2 linked regions of the Callithrix jacchus genome follow. The protein of the gene in region 1 binds, or shares a complex with, the protein of each later gene. Links are inferred from orthologs where the notes say so. Each region holds a gene or a part of one and is shown in the gene's direction. Other genes may lie near its edges.

Evidence for each region. The genes of interacting proteins can lie anywhere in the genome.
Region 2: the proteins of MCCC1 (region 1) and MCCC2 are in contact, whole or in part, in a cryo-EM structure (PDB 8JXM), measured with the Homo sapiens proteins. The link is inferred for Callithrix jacchus from reciprocal best matches to the Homo sapiens genes MCCC1 and MCCC2. Residues at the interface, in NP_064551.3 of Homo sapiens: Glu519, Phe526, His531, Asp532, Phe534, Ser535, Pro536, Phe537, Ser538, Ser539, Ser540, Ser541, Gly542, Arg543, Arg544, Leu545, Asn546, Ile547, Tyr549, Thr550, Arg551, Tyr568, Tyr636, Leu637, Ser641, Glu644; in NP_071415.1 of Homo sapiens: Leu56, His57, Val60, Glu61, Lys64, Asp88, Ile91, Pro93, Gly94, Ser95, Pro96, Phe97, Leu98, Glu99, Gln102, Ile123, Gly124, Arg125, Gly128, Glu130, Arg234, Trp276, Leu278, His281, His282, His285, Lys298, Lys299, Leu300, Ile304.

Annotation. Positions count from the first base shown.
Region 1 is NC_133516.1:11,354,925-11,358,667, reverse strand, and holds the start of MCCC1 (methylcrotonoyl-CoA carboxylase subunit alpha, mitochondrial), read left to right. Parts: upstream 1-1,362; 5' UTR 1,363-1,466; coding exon 1,467-1,558; exon of another isoform or gene 1,559-2,403; intron 2,404-3,743.
Region 2 is NC_133503.1:139,599,271-139,603,013, reverse strand, and holds the start of MCCC2 (methylcrotonoyl-CoA carboxylase beta chain, mitochondrial), read left to right. Parts: upstream 1-1,207; 5' UTR 1,208-1,348; coding exon 1,349-1,477; intron 1,478-3,743. UniProt on the Homo sapiens protein: Carboxyltransferase subunit of the 3-methylcrotonyl-CoA carboxylase, an enzyme that catalyzes the conversion of 3-methylcrotonyl-CoA to 3-methylglutaconyl-CoA, a critical step for leucine and isovaleric acid catabolism.

The DNA of each region.
Region 1 (3,743 bases):
TGTAGCTTCAAACTCCTGGATTCAAGTGATCCTCCTGCCTGAGTCTCCCAAGTAGCTGGGACTACAGGCATGCATCATCATGCCCAATTTTTTAAAAAAGTTTTGTACAGATGGGGGTCTCATTATGTTGTCTAAGCTGGTATCAAACTCCTAGGCTTAAGCAGTCCTCCCACCTCAGCCTCGCAAAGTGATGGGGTCACAAGACATGAGCCACAGCACCCAGTGCAATTAATATTTTATTTAGAATTTTTCCATTGATATTTATAAGTGAAATTGGTCTGTCGTGTGTGTGTGTGTGCATGATATCTTTGTTGATTTTGGTATCAAAATTATGTTTACTTTTTAAAAAGAATTTGGAACACGTCCATCTTTTTTATGCCCTGGGAGAGAATTAATAGCGTTTGAGTCAACTCCTCATTTGTGTGGAATTTTCTTGCAGGACAAGGTGGGCTTTCGTAACTTTTGGGGGTGAAGGTGAAGATGGAAGTGGGGGGCGGTAGCAAGGGCAGCTCTTGTTCAACTTCTCTGGTTTTTCTATGGTAATGGTTTGCTTATATTTTGTCTCTTCCAGGATCGATTTTGACAAATTGTATTTTCTTGAAACATCATTCATTCCATCCAGAGTTCTAAGTTTACTTGAAATTAAGCAAAATTAGCATCTTACAAATCTACAATTTGTTTCCCGTCTGTGATTTTCCCCCGCTTATGTTTTTTAAATCATGTCAAACGTGCGTTTTTCTCTCTTTATTTCTGATTTGATAACTATTTTATGAATTTTTGTGACCCTGTGGGTATATTAGTCCTTTGATACTGGCTTTCGGAATTCATTTATTTCTTCCTTCATCTTCACTAATTTCTTCCTCCAGCTTTCCTCACGAAGCATCCACCTGCAGTGTTTGCAGTATCTTTATCCTCTAGATATTCCTGTTGCTCTTTGACTTCCTCTTTTTCCCAAGACTCAGTAGGAACACCTGCTTTAAGCTCAGGTGGTTTAAAGATTTTCAATTTCGCTTATTTATTTATTCTGCCCTGAGAGCACTAGAGAATTGTGTATCCTGCTCTCCATCCGCATTTGGCTTTTTCCCCCAGGGCTCGTCTCCCAGAAGCTGACAAGAGTGAAGGAACCGCGCAGGAGGCAAGAAAAAACAGTGACAGGGAACCAGGAGGCGGAGGAAGGGGAAACACCTTCCCGGAGTCGGCGCAGGCCCGTGTGGCGCAGAAACTAAGGCCACACCCCCGCGGGCACGCGGCCAGACTGACCAATCGTCGCTGCGGAAGCCGAACTCTGGTCTTTGATTGGTGTTTGTGGAGACGCCCTCACATGCTCGGATAGGCCCAAAGCGAGGCTGAGACTCCGACGGTGGCCGGCGGGGCTCTCGAGGCTTCGGAGCGGAGGGTCGGGTTTGCAGCGTGGGACGCGGCAGCCGCAGTGCCGGGGAGTAGCGGAGCGGCTGGGCCCCAGGGACATGGCGGCGGTCTCCGCGGTGTCGGCACTGCTGGCGGCGGCGGCGGAGAGGAACCGGTGGCAGCGTCTCCCGAGCCTGCTCCTGCCGCCGAGGTGGGTAGAGGGGCCATGGCGCCATGCCGGGGGCGGAGGCGAGGGGCGCTTGCACCTGGGTGGGCGGTGGGAGGTGCGGCGGGACGGGGTGTCGCGGTGGGGAGGACGGAAGAAAAATCCCGCCGCTCGTGCGGGGTCCTGCTGGCAGTCACGGCGTCAGGAGGAGGACCCCCCGCAGCGGCCTTCGCGCTCTCCCGGCCTCCCCGCATCCACGCCTCAGCGCGCCGTTCCGGTTTTCCGCTCCGAGGAGGGGCCCGCCGTCCTCCAGTCGTCCCTCGCCGCCGCGGCAGCTCGGAGCCGTTTTCCTCGGCGTTCGCAGCACCCCTTAGGTGGGAACGTTGTTACCATCCCGTTCCAAGGAAGCCCCCGCGGATCAGCGACTTGCTCAGCGGAACACGACTAGTAAGGACTGGACCAGGATGCCCGCGAGTCATTTCCAGTTCGGCTGCGCCCCATCAGGTGTCCTGTTCTCAGAAGGACGCCTGGAGTTCCCGCTCGTTGTTAGAGGAATGAAGTTGTCGAGAGGAGAACGTGTGCCTTCCACAGAGCTGGGGAACTGTTTTGTCAGAAACTCTCGCACCCAGGTTCGAACAGCGCTGTCGGATGACTCAGTTTAGCTCACCTGACTCTACCTCTTGTTTCAAATTTTGAGCTCTAACCTTTGGTGGCAGTAACTCTGGCAGCGAAAACACCCTCAGGCTTGTAGATAGCTTGCTTCTTTGTCTTCTTTGGCTTAATGGTTATCATCATCCTCCATCATTCTGGAAAGACAGTTTAGTGTTCAAGGGCACAGATTCTGCAGTCAAGGCTGAGGTCTTAGCTACTCACTAGGTGTGTGACTTTGGGTAAGTTACTTAATATTTCTTCTTTAATTTCCTCACCTTGGAGGAGATGATGCTCGTACCTTGGGTTGTGAAAATTAACGCATGGAAAGAGGTTTAAGCAGAATCTGGTACATAAAATCAATATATAAATGCAAAACCAACCATTTACATGAACATTTGCTTGTTTTTATTTTCCAGAAATTATTGTAGATGGCCTTTTTAGTGACTTAATTGTAGGACTGCCCAGAGAAACATGAGAAAGTTGGTGAAAGTAATGTTAATGTTCCTTTGTTCCCCTGGTTTTTCTTTTCTTAGGTGTGCAGGGCTCTTCAGGATAGTACGGTAGACCCATTTTCTCTCTCTCTTCCCTTTCAAAGCTTACCTATTGTTTATAGAACTATTCTCAAGTATGTGTCACCCTGGAGAGCGTTAGAGTTGTTGATGGCTTATAGAAGTAAACCTCTGGGCCAGGAGAGTTCATTCATGCCTGTATTCTCAGCACTTTCCCAGCACTTGGGATCCAAGGTGGGCGGATTGTGTGAGTTCAGGACCAGCCTGGGCAACATAGTAAGACCTCATCTTTACAAAACATTAAAAAATTAGCCAGGCGTAGTGGCACACACTTGTAGTTACAGCTACTTGGGAGGATGAGGTGGGTGAGGATGGCTTGAGCCCAGGGGTTCCAGGCCACACACACCACTGTACTCCATCCTGGGTGACATCCCGAATCAAAAAAAAAATCAGTACAGATAGTTTACATTATTTTTATGTTGTGAATCTCTAGTAGCCCAGAGAAAATAATTTCTAGTGGCAGAATTATAGATATGACAATAAGCTGGTATGGAGCTACCTTGAATCTGGGAAGCAGCTTCTTAATCTTGTTTAAGCCATTGTTTTTAAGTTTCAGCTCAGATAATTGTGAAAAATGGAATGATCAATCATAACATTGTTGGGGTAGATTATAGTTAAGTGTAATCTCTCTCTCTCTCTGTCTCTCATTCTCCCTCTTTCCTTCTCTTTCCCTTCTGTCTTCACTAGAAGATAGCAAAAGAAAGCTTTACGTCAACAGTAGCCTTGAAACTTATCAGACTCTTAAGCTAGCTTTACCAAGAAGCAACCATTTAATAGATACATCTGCTCAGAATAGGCCTTGAAACTTATCAGAAACCTATCTAAAGAATGTGAAGGGAAGACAGTGACAGAAAATACCTCATAAAGATCAAGGACAGTGATCCCCCTCCTTCAAGATCAAGAAGGCAAGGTCGACTGAATTGGAAAGGAACGGGAGAGCGGCAGCCTCCTGAGGAAGCAGCTCATGGAACTCTCCTGCCAAACCTGTGGGTCTTCCCAGCAGCCCCTCA
Region 2 (3,743 bases), on another chromosome or scaffold:
TTTGACATTTTGAATAAATAATTTGAAGAAACGCCCCACAAGGCAAAGAAAGAACGAGGCAACGAAAGAACAAAAGCAGAGATTTACTGAAAATGAAATTACACTCCACAGTGTGGGAGCAGACCGAGCAGCAGCTCAAGGGACCGGATACAGCATCTTCTCGGGTCCAAATACCCACTAGAAGTTTCCCATCATATAAATGAAGTGGTAGTCCACAATCAGTCTGATTGGTTGTAGAAAGCAGCCAACCAGAGGCTGAAGTGAGGTACAAAGGTCACACTCCTGTGCAAACAGCAAAAAGCAACCAATCGGAGGTGAAGTTACAAAGTTATCCTTTTTTTTTTGAGACGGAGTTTCCCTCTTGTTACACAGGCTGGAGTGCAATGGCGCAATTTCGGCTCACCGCAACCTCCGCCTCCCGGGTTCAGGCAATTCTCCTGCCTCAGCCTCCTGAGTAGCTGGGATTACAGGCGCGCGCCACCATGCCCGGCTAATTTTTTGTAATTTTAGTAGAGACGGGGTTTCACCATGTTGACCAGGATGGTCTTTGATCTCTTGACCTCGTGATCCACCCACCTCGGCCTCCCAAAGTGCTGGGATTACAGGCGTGAGCCACCGCGCCCGGCCAACAAAGTTATACTTCTATGCAAAGGAAGACTGGGCCCCCAATCAGTCTGACTGGTTATGGACAGCAACCATTCAGAGGCTGGAGTTAAGTTACAAAGTTGCAAAGGAAGACTCTGTCAGTCTGATCTGTTGCAGACAGCCAGTTTCCTATCTGCCAGGCGGAAAAGTTGGGGGGTTTGCAAAGGGAGTAGCCTCTCATCCTTTTGTTACTTGGGCATGGAAAGTTAGGGTTTTCCTTTCAGTTTAGCTCTATGAAGTCAGTGTGAGACAGCTTTAGTTTCCCTGCCTCCAGACCCTTATTCTGCTGCCTCAGATACAGTCACCATCGTGATATTATCTATCGCTGTATCAACACACCAACCCAAGGCCAACCACAGCTCTTTCAGCACTGCGCCGTTTCGGGGCACCCAGTTGGTCACGTGAGGGTTGTTCCGCCGGGAGCCCAGCTCTCCTGCGCTCCAGACCGGACGGGATCTCGTGGGGCTGAGCTTCTGTTCCTTATTGGTTGGCTCAGGGGGCGTGGCGCGACCTGACCAATCGCGGGCGGGGCGCTTAGGCACGTGCGGGGGCAGGCCCGCCTGAGAATCCGAGAGGCCTTCGCTAGGGCTGCAAGGACCCGAACCTAGCCCCAGCGAGGGAAGCGGCGGGGGAAAGCACCGGCTCCAGGCCAGCGCGGGCCGCTTTCTCGCTCTCCTAGCTCACTCGGTCTGTGCCCGCCGCCATGTGGGCCGCCCGGAGGTTAGCCCTGTGGCCTTGTGCCCGCGCCGCTACCGCCGGGCTGCGCGCCTATCACGGGGACTCGGTGGCCTCGTTGGGCACCCAGACGGACGCGGGCTCTGCCGTCTACCAGGTAGGCTGAGCGCCCCGGGGGCCTGGCCGCAAGTGGAGGAAGCAAGTGGGTAGGGGCAGGCTTCAACAGCTGCTGCTCTCTTCTCAGGAGCCCCAGTCTCCCAGATTCTGGGATCCATAGAAGTTTGAAGAAGGAAAGCCTAACAGATAAAAGAAATTTTAGTTCACTTTTAGAGCTGGCACTGTACTTTGTGTCTTTGAAATCAGTGGTTCTTAAAGCCTGGTTTAGAATTCTCACCTGGAGAGCTCTTTAAATAGCGGCCTGAGCCCCACTCTGGACCTTCTGGATCTCAGATAAAGTCGTGGTGTTTTCATTGTAGTGAAGTCCTTAGGGTACTTTTGGCAGCCAGCTTTGGGAACCACTGGCCTAGAACACCCCAACCAGGGGCGCTGTGCTTACGAAGTTTTAGTTTAAAAGTTGGTTATGATGGCAGGGCGCGGTGGCTCACACCTGTAATCCCAGCACTTTGGGAGGCTCTGGCGAGTGGATTACCTGAGGTCAGGAGTTTGAGACCCCCCCCTGGCCAACGGGGTGAAACCCCGTCTCTACTAAAAATACAAAAATTAGCCGGGCGTGGTGGTACGTGCCTGTAATCCCAGCTACTCAGGAGGCTGAGGCAGGAGAAAAGCTTCAATTCGGGAGGCAGAGGTTGCAGTGAGCTGAGACTGTGCCACTGCTCTCCAGCTTGGGTAACGAGGGAAACTCTGTCTCAAAAACAAACAAAAAAAAAAGTTGGTTATGTTAATAGAAAACATCCCACAGTGTCTTTGAGTGGCTTTTCCTGGAATTAGGAGGCATCATAAGGCCAGAACACTTAAAGCTTGTGAAATATCAGAGCTGGAAAATTTCATTCTGTTCCCATAATTTCTAAGCCTATACAGATAACATCTAAATAGTGCAAACAACACAGGACAGAATGTCTAGTTCAGAATTATTAAGTGGTTACTGTGGTCTAGGCACTTAATTTAGATATTTGGTATAGATGTGCAGGAATGGAACTTATAATTTTGTAGGGGAGATGGACAAGAAAGCAGGTAACTGGTACAGTGTAAGAAGGGGTGTTTAAAGCTTGAGACAGTGGTTACGAAAGCTACAGATAGGAAGTAATAGGTGAGATGAATCTTGGGTAAGAGCTGGCCAGGTTCAGGGTTCAGGATGGAAAGTAGGACTATACAAACCAGGAGAGTTACAAGAACATAGGTACGGAGTTATGAAAGTGAATATCTGGCCAGGTGCAATGGCTCACGCCTGTAAACACAGCTCCGGAGGCCGAGTTACGTGGATCACCTGAGGTTGGGAGTTCAAGACCAGCCTGACCAATATGGATAAACCCGTCTCTATTAAAAGTACAAAATTAGCCAGGCATGGTCGTGCATGCCTGTAATCCCAGCTACTCAGGAGGCTGAGGCAAAAGAATCGTTTGAACCTGGGAGGCAGATGTTGTGGTGAGCCAAGATTGCGCCATTGCACTCCAGCCTGGGCAACAAGAGGGCTTGGAATTCATGGAATAGTTTGGTGATGGGATTGATTGATTATGGGACCAGATAGAGGAGGATCTTGCATGCAAAAGCCACATTTAGATTCCATTTTGCAGGCTGCCCATTAGAAAATTTAAGTAGATAAGTGGCATGATCCTATAGATATGGTAGAATCATCAGTGTGGTGGCAGTGTGAAGGATGGATTGATGTAGGGAAAAGACTAGACCTAGGTGACAGTGGAGAGTTGAGTCTTGAGATGAAGGAGTCAAATTAGACTTGTATGTGGTAGGGGCGTTAGAGATGCCCGAGGAACGACAATTACAGAGTTAATAACTGAGTGGAAGGGAAAGATGGATGACTTTGGAGTTTCCAGCTGGGCAGAATATTTAGGTTGGTGGAAATGTCATTAATACAAACAAGTCTTTAGGACCAGGAGTGAGGTTTGGCAGATGAGAGAGAGGATATTTGGTGATGGGTTTTGTATGAATCACCTTTTGCTAGGTTGTGCTTTGTAACAGACAATTAAAAAATCTCAGTAGCTTACAACAACAAATATTTGTTTCTTAATCTCTCACTCATTTGTGCTGGTGGCTTGTGGTTGGCTGCTGTGACTGTTCCACTGCAGGGTGGATTCGGGTCTGCTGTTTGTGTCTTCCCATTCCTGGACTGAGGCTGAAGGAGCAGCCCTGATTTAATCATGCCGTTCTCATGCCCAAAGACACAGGAACAAGAGGCTGAACACAAATTGGATTTAAAGTTCTTGCTGGGCTGGGTGCGGTGGCGTGTG